Linked DNA regions of Canis lupus familiaris. The protein of the gene in region 1 purifies or fractionates together with the protein of each later gene. This does not show direct contact. Links are inferred from orthologs where the notes say so. Each region holds a gene or a part of one and is shown in the gene's direction. Other genes may lie near its edges. The genes, in order: KLF5 and EP300.

Region 1 (4,325 bases):
CTATTACTTTCCTACAAATTTGGATTCCCAGTTTTCAGAGCGGCTGAGCGTCTAAGGCTCCTTTGGTTGTCTTTTCGTAGGAAAAGGTGCCCCAGTGTCAGGTAAATGTGCCACGTTTCTGTTTTGTAAATATTGAGCTCCATTTTTTTTTTTTTTTTGAACATACAGTGCTAGCAAAAACAAGTCAAAGATGTAATCTCTATTTAAATACATTGGAACTAGTCGTTAGGGCTTAAATTAGATTCCAGGCTTCGGCTAGAATCAAAAGTTGTAAATATCAAAAACTTCAAAATTCATATCCCCATATTCCCATCCTCCTCCTCCCCATACAGATACGAGGTAGAAATTGGGTGTGAAACCTTCTTTCCAGCCATTTACATAGTGTAGGGGAAAACAAGCTCCTATGCCAGGACTTAAAAAAAAAAAAAAAATCTATTGGCCATTAAACCTTTTATTCAGGACCTTCCAGATGGACACGTTCACTGCTGAAGACACACAGACACAAGAGCTGTTTTTAAATTTGCTTATCACACCGCCCCTAGTTCTCCGCTAAAGAAAAGTACATTTTGTATATTTAAAAATACACGCTCCTGAGAGAAGCCCCTCGAACCCTCGGCGCCCCCACCTCGCTGCCTGCCGGGCTTCTCGGCTTTGGAGTCTCAGGTCCCTTGCACAACACCTAAGACGTGCAAACCTCTTGTTTTTTCTCCCTAGCCCTGGCGGAGAACAGTTGGAGAGATCTCCCTCCACGTCTCCACCCCGATTCCCTCTCTTCCTAGATTCCACCCGCGCCTCTCCTTTCCTCCGCCCCCGGCTCCGGCAGCCCAATCTGTCAGAGAAGTTGTGTACAAACTGCGCGGCCGCCCTGCGCGCGAAAGCTCGTGGCCCGAGGGGGCGGGTCAGCGCGGCGGGGGCGGGGCCCGCGTGAGCCTCTCCCTCCTCATAGGCTGCGCCCTCCGGCCCGGCCGGCCTCGGGGCACCGGGATTCGCTGCGGCGCTGCCAGTCAGGCCGGCGGGCCCCGCCCACCCGGAGTTGGGTAAAATAGAGGCGGGCGTCAAGTGTCAGTAGTCGCGGGGCAGGTACGCGCGCTCGCAGCTCGCTCGCGGAGACCGGCGGTGGCGGGAGCGGGCTCCGGCGAGTGAGAGAGCGCGGCGCGGCGCGGCGGGGCGGGGCGGGGCGGGAGAAAGTGGCCGCCGCGGAGACGTTGGCGTTTGCGCGTGGCGGAGCGGAAGAGTTTTGCTTCTCGTGCGCGCCTTCGAAGACCGCGCCGGCTGTTGGCTGAGGGGGTCCGCCCGCCCGGAGCGTCCCCTTCTCCGCCCGCGGCCCCGCGCCGAGCTCGCCGGCCCGCGTCGGCGTGGGCGAGGTGGGAAGCGCGCCCGACCCGCGCCCGGAGCCGCCGGCCCCCGCCCCCCGCCCCCCGCGAGTGCCAATGGCCACGCGGGTGCTGACGATGAGCGCCCGCCTGGGACCCGTGCCCCAGCCGCCGGCCCCGCAGGACGAGCCCGTGTTCGCGCAGCTCAAGCCCGTGCTGGGCGCCGCGAACCCGGCCCGCGACGCGGCGCTCTTCCCGGGCGAGGAGCTGAAGCACCCGCACCACCACCCGCAGGCGCAGCCCGCGCCCCCGCAGCCGCCGCAGCCGGCGCCGCCGCCCGCCGCGGGCCCGCGGCTGCCCCCGGAGGAGCTGGTCCAGGTAGGAAGAGGCGCTCCCCTCCCTCCCTCCCTCCCTCCCTCCGTCGGTCCGTCCCTCCGCCCCCCTCCCGGAGCTCGGGCGTGTCCCGCCGCTGCGACGCGCGGGCGACAGGGGCCGCTCCAAGCTGGGGCGTGCGTCGGGGCGCTGGGGGGCGGGGGGCGGCCCCTCCCCTCCCCTCCCCTCCCCTCCCCTCCCCTCCCCTCCCCTCCCGGCCCTGCCGGCCTGGGCGCTCGCAGGCAGCAGCGAGAAAGTCGGGGGACCGGAAGGGGGGGGGCGTCCCGGCCGGAGCCGCCCCGATGGGCCCGTCCGGGGAGAGGTTCGAGCGGAGCGGGGGCTCACACGCACCTTGGCGTTGCCCCTCGTGCCTCACGTCCAGCGTCCGTCTAAATCCCGGCTCTCCCCTGATGCACCCCGACCCCCACCCCCACCCCCACCCCCACCCCCACCCCACGGAGGATCCCCCTCGTAGGCTCGGGTCAGGTGGAATCGCAGCCCGGGTGCCGGCGGGAGGCGCCTCGGGTGCTACTTTCGTATCTCGGGGCTCAGGCTGCTCTAGACGCGATCTCGGGGCTGCCTTGGGGAACCGAGAGCTGGGGGAGCTGCGGTGGTACCGGAGCGGCGTGTCTGTGTGTGTGTGTGTGTTTTTCCTTAAAAAGCCAAGACCCAGAAAAAGGACCGGGGGTGTTGTTTTCTTCATGTGCGCGTAAATTTCCTCCCGGAGCCGCGTTGAAAGCTGGCAGTTGGCTCTTTACACTTGCCCGGCAGCCGAATTAGAGCAGCCGCCTGTTTCTTTCGCCCACGCAGGGAGTCATATAGCCCTGGAAAAAAAAAAAAAAAAAAAAAAAAAAAAAACTTCCCGGGACTTTTAGCCTGTCCCAAGGAAAAAAAAAAATTGGAAACATACCCACATGCAAACAGCTGGAAGAGCTAAAAGCAGAAACCACTAACCACCACGGGAGCGAAGCGCACGGAAGGGTTTTAGTTGGGTTTATTTCGAGACGCTTCGTTTCACGGCCCCTTGGTGCGGCCCCTGCGCCGCCGCGGGGTCTGCGGGCCTCGTGGTGCCCGGAGAGGGCAGGGGCATTTGTCAGAGGTGTGACTCACAGGGCCCGAGCGTTAGTTTTTATTTTTAAATCGTGTCTATCTGGGAAGCCCTGTCTTAACATCCACAGCGAATGGTACGAGGTCTGATACGAAACGCTTTTGAAATGAAGTGATAGCAAAAAAAAAAAAAAAAGTGTATTATTCACCAGTTAGGATGCCACCACGATTAATAGGTGCATGAGCCATTTCATGGGGGTGGGGTGGGCTCTGCTTTGCTCTGAAAATTTACTTTTCGACGTTAAAAAAATAAATATTAAGTTTATGTTTATGTGCTAGTTTATGTACTGGCATAGAAGAGTTTGTAAAAAGAAAAAAAAAAAGACGGAGGGTGACTAGTTACAAGCTCTGGATCGTTGTGTTAAAAAAAAAAAAAATCCCCACTTGAGAACGATTTGGTTATTTCAGGTTGGTCACTTCTGGTTAAGAGACACCAAGAGGCTAAGGGATGATTGAGCTTTTTTTTTTTTTTTTTTTTTTACAGAGTAAGGGGGAATGTAGCATTGGGCCACTGAGAAGGACATGGTAAATGTTTTGCTGATGACTGTGCTAGGGATACAGCAGCCTCTCCCCACCCACGGACTCCTTAGCACCACTCTACCAAGGGAGTGATTTTCCCCTAGGTAATTAAAGATCTGTTTTAGATAGGGATATGAATAGGAACATTTCATTATCATATTAACCAATTACAGAATCTGCTGATTAAAATCAACATTTAGATCAAATGTTGAAAGTGAAGTTGTTCTGTTCTTTGAGTGGATACTGTTCTGCTCAAGAGGTTGTATTTTAAGTTTCCAGTGACCTGTACATGAGAAAAGGCACTGAAATAGCCAAGGAATATGTTATATTAGATACTTCAACAATATCTACCTGGGCAAACAAACAGAAAGAAACCCTAAAACAGAACTTCGCAATATTATTTTTAAGGTTGTTTTGCTTAGGTTTTGTTTGTTTAAACATACCTGTATTAACATAAATATGGCACGAGCAGAATTGAGGAGGTTCGGCAGTAGTAGTACGATACTGTATTTAAGTTGAAAACTCAACTGTAATGGGGTAGGGAATCCTGCTTTTGTATGTGAGTTATAAAAATACACTTTGTTATCGATTAGAAAGGAATTCTAATCCTTTCTTTCTGCTGCTGCTGCTTTTTTTTTTTTTTTTTTCTTGATTTGCCTGTTAAACTTTTTGTCCGGGGCTGATTGTGGGAGCGATTTTACCAAATACACGTTATAGAGAGTTTCATAAGGGTTTTGGTAAACCAGTTATTACACAATGGACAAATAAACCTGATACGTTTATAAGCGACGCTTGAAAGGAGCTTGCCCTAGTACTTCTCACAGGTATCGCTGGGGGAATTTTTAGTAAGTTTGTCTTTACTCAGCTGATGAATTGGGTGGATTATGCATGTTTGTATCTCTTCTTTTTTAGACAAGATGTGAAATGGAGAAGTATCTGACACCTCAGCTTCCTCCAGTTTCAATGATTCCAGAGCATAAAAAGTATAGACGAGACAGTGCCTCAGTCGTAGAC
Region 2 (3,809 bases), on another chromosome or scaffold:
GAATCCATAGTATGTTTAGTACACCACATAAATTTTCCATTTATGTATAATTTCTTTCAAACTGAGCTGTGGAATACTTGAGAGTGAATGAACAAAACTATAGGTTTATGAATGTCTGTGGTCCTAAGGTTGAAAATCATGACCTAAAATGAGAAAAGTATGGGCCTGGAACAGTCAGTAGCTTCCTTGTGAGAGGCTCATTATGTACATAGGAGAAATCCAAGTTCACATCTAATAGTTGCATCCTTACTAATAGAATTCTCAATAGAATTCTGTATGTCAAGGCTCAGGACTTTTTATTTGCTCACTTATATTTTATTTCTCTGTCATGTTGGTGAACAGAGAAATCCCTTGAGTCAATAGCTACTTCATAAAACATCATAAGTTAGCAACTGGTTCATCCCAGCCTCTGATATGCAAGAAATAGCAGAGTGCAGAAAGGAAACTTTTGTTTAGGGTAGTTCCTAAAAATACTAACTACTCATGAGGTTTCTTATTGGATGACTTAGGAAAAAGAGATTGCTAGTTATCCCATTAGAATGTCATGATTCAAAACAGTTACTCAGTGTGGGAGTTCATTATATGCTCTCTACTTTTTCTATACATTTGCAGCTTTTCCCATCAGAAACTTAAAACAAATAGTCAATCCTTATTTTCTTTGTTTCTCCTCTGAGGCAGTCATCTCTAAGACCCTACCCCTCACACATTGCACACAGCTAGTGCAGAAACTGGCTGTCTTTCCTGTGTATAGTCAGCCAGCCAGTGTTGCAAGTCCTCAAGCTCCTGTGCTGAAGCACAGTTTACTTCAAGGACATGAAATAGTCCAAGTATGAGAAAGCACAATAAATGAATATAATGATTCAAGTCCAGAGATAGAGGGTAAATGATGCTGTCCTATTGTGGAGCTTAAACTCTGGTTGTATCATTGGCAAACTTTTTGTTTTTTCCCTTTTTCTGCCCAGCTTTCCCAGCCAGCTGTAAGCATTGAAGGGCAGGTATCAAACCCTCCATCCACTAGTAGCACAGAAGTCAATTCTCAGACCATTCCTGAGAAGCAGCCTTCACAGGAAGTGAAAATGGAGGCTAAGATGGAAGTGGATCCACCAGAACCAGCAGATACTCAGCCAGAGGATATTCCAGAGGTGAGAGCAGGGCAAGGACTGCTGTTGGTTAGGACCTCAGTCTAGGAACCAGTTTAGCATTCTGATAATTAGGTCTCATTTCATTGATTTCCACATGAGGAAGGGTCTTTAGATATGTCCACAGGACAGAGTAAATAAGATAATAATCTTGTTGCTTTCTGGTGGCAAGTCTTTGGAATACTAAAAATGTTGACCTTGTCTTTCAGACTAAAGCAGAGGACTGTAAAATGGAACCTACAGAAACAGAAGAAAGAGGCACTGAATTAAAAGCTGAAACAAAAGAGGAGGAAGACCAGCCAAGTACTTCAACTACCCAGTCTTCTCCAGCCCCAGGACAGTCAAAGAAGAAGAGTAGGTCTCTTAGGCTCTCTGTTCCTGGAGGCTAGGGGAAAAAAAGAAAACTTTGAGTAGAATGGGATCAGGCTTCTTAGGTTTTAGAAATTGACTTTAATGTGATTTCATTTAAGTTTAGAGTCCTTTTGGCTTGGTATCTTAGTTATACTAATGTTGGAGAAGACTGTTTCTTTTTTATAGGTCAATTTCCTTCCTGCAGTCATTGGGTCAGTTATGCCCATGATTTCTTCAGGGTTGGGTGGTTAACAACTCCTCAAAATTATCTTTTTTTCAGAGGAGAAAAATTGTTACATATCCTTAACTCAAATGCAGGAAATATTAGCAGTGATAATAGTACTGTTTATGGTTAACCTCCTGCCCACTAGGCATTGCTGTTTGCATTGTCTCATCTAACTGAACAACAACTCTAGTTACTGGTCCCTGTTTATAGGCAGGGAAAACCTCATGCTCAGCACGGTTAAGTAGCTTGTCCCAGCTTATTACTAATCTCATCAATGAGCCCAGGCAGGCTGATTCAGAGTCTGCTCCCAACCAGCTCTTAAATATTAATGAATCCAGTCGAGCAAGCAGCTCTGCTTAATACAGAGTGTTAAACTCTCGTTAGTTGTTTAATTCCCACAGAAATTGACTTACCAACTAGGTTGGGACTAGAACTTCTTGTGACTCTAGTGATGCATTTGTGGCACAGGTAGGACTTCTCTCAAGGGAGGAGTGTGCTGGCTCCTAAAGATGGTATATATAAAGGTGTTCCGTTAAATATAATGCAGTTTAAAATGTTGAGATTAAAAAAAATTATTTGCATTTAAATGAGGTTCCTATAATTGAGGTGTCATTTTAATATAGTCTGCAAGAAACCTAATCTTACTAGGAATCTGTCTTGTAAATAGCTAATTTCACAAATTCAAATTTTGTTTCTTATTAGTATAATCAGATATGAAAAACAAAGTATCCTTTCCCATCTGTTCTTTTTTTTTCCCCCATGGTCATCCCCACCATGAAGTGAACAATAAAGTACTAACAAATACCCTTCCTGAAGATAAAAATTAATTTGTAAATAGAATAAGTAACAAGCCTCTGCTGAGAGTGTTTTAAAGCTCAAAACTGCCAAAACCTTAATGTATAGCTTCTTAAATAATAGCTAAAATTAATTCCATTTGGGATACACTAGCAATTCTTTCCTGACCTTTAGGAAACATATTAAGAACACACTGGAATGAAATTTGGTCAACTGAGTCCATTGTTTCAGCAATAACAATTTAGTTCTCTCTTTGTTTAGACTTAAACCTGACATTAGACTTAAACCTGACATTTGCCATTAAGATAATATGTCCTCTTCCTTAGCTCTAAAACACCACGCTAAATTTAATGAGGGACTCTTCCCTTCAGGGGTTCTGATTGCTTTAGCATTAGGACAATACCAGGTCTAATTTCTGACTTGTTAAATACTGTTCTTATTAATGAGGACTTTTTTCTATTCGTGTTTGACAGTATCCCCCCACCCTTGGAATGTTTTTTGACAAGTTTCTTCATAAATTTTTGGAATGTTTAGGATTCTGTTTCTACTTGGTCAAGACTGAATCTTAACTGAATTTTATCTTGACCGAATTTTTGAAAAATTAGCTGAGCCTTGAAGGATGTTTAAAACTGACTAGACCTGGTGTTCTAAAGTCATTATGAGACAGACCAGGAATTAGAAATAGAAGCGTGGGGCAGCGTGGGTGGCTCAGCGGTTTAGCACTGCTTTCCGCCCAGGGCGTGATCCTGGAATCGCAGGATCGAGTCTCACGTTGGGCTTCCTGCATGGAACCTGCTTCTCCCTCTGCCTGTGTCTCTGCCTCTCTCTTTCTCTGTCTTATGAATAAATAAAATCTTAAAAAAAAAAAAAAAAGTGTGTCTTAAGTGATACCTCCATGGAGACAGTGTAGGCAGATCTTGTTTTGTGGTTCATGAGATAATTTTATAGTTTTACCTTGAGCATTTTCTTCTTTTGCTTAGCTGAAAACTAATTTCAAATGTGCTCTTAAGTTTTCAAGCCAGAAGAGTTACGACAGGCACTGATGCCAACATTGGAGGCACTTTACCGACAGGATCCAGAATCCCTTCCCTTTCGTCAGCCTGTGGACCCTCAACTTCTAGGAATCCCTGTAAGTATGTGGTGGTATTTTTGTTTTTGTTGTGGTGGTGGTTTGTTATTTTTGTTGTTGTTGTTGTTGTTGTTAGCAGCTTCATTCAGATTAATTCACATGTTATCGAGGACACCCATTTAAACTAGTTTAATGCTTTTTGTGTATTAACAGAATTGTGCAAATATCA

Evidence for each region.
Region 2: the proteins of KLF5 (region 1) and EP300 purify together in Homo sapiens (affinity purification with western blotting; 3 studies listed by BioGRID). This does not show direct contact. The link is inferred for Canis lupus familiaris from reciprocal best matches to the Homo sapiens genes KLF5 and EP300.

The regions. Positions count from the first base shown.
Region 1 is NC_049243.1:27,271,174-27,275,498, forward strand, and holds the start of KLF5 (Krueppel-like factor 5), read left to right. Parts: upstream 1-1,430; coding exon 1,431-1,691; intron 1,692-3,276; exon of another isoform or gene 3,277-3,415; intron 3,416-4,223; coding exon 4,224-4,325. UniProt on the Homo sapiens protein: Transcription factor that binds to GC box promoter elements. Activates the transcription of these genes.
Region 2 is NC_049231.1:25,055,468-25,059,276, reverse strand, and holds part of EP300 (histone acetyltransferase p300), read left to right. Parts: exon of another isoform or gene 1-962; coding exon 963-1,142; exon of another isoform or gene 1,143-1,348; coding exon 1,349-1,493; exon of another isoform or gene 1,494-1,524; intron 1,525-2,129; exon of another isoform or gene 2,130-2,219; intron 2,220-3,521; coding exon 3,522-3,640; intron 3,641-3,809. UniProt on the Homo sapiens protein: Functions as a histone acetyltransferase and regulates transcription via chromatin remodeling. Acetylates all four core histones in nucleosomes. Histone acetylation gives an epigenetic tag for transcriptional activation.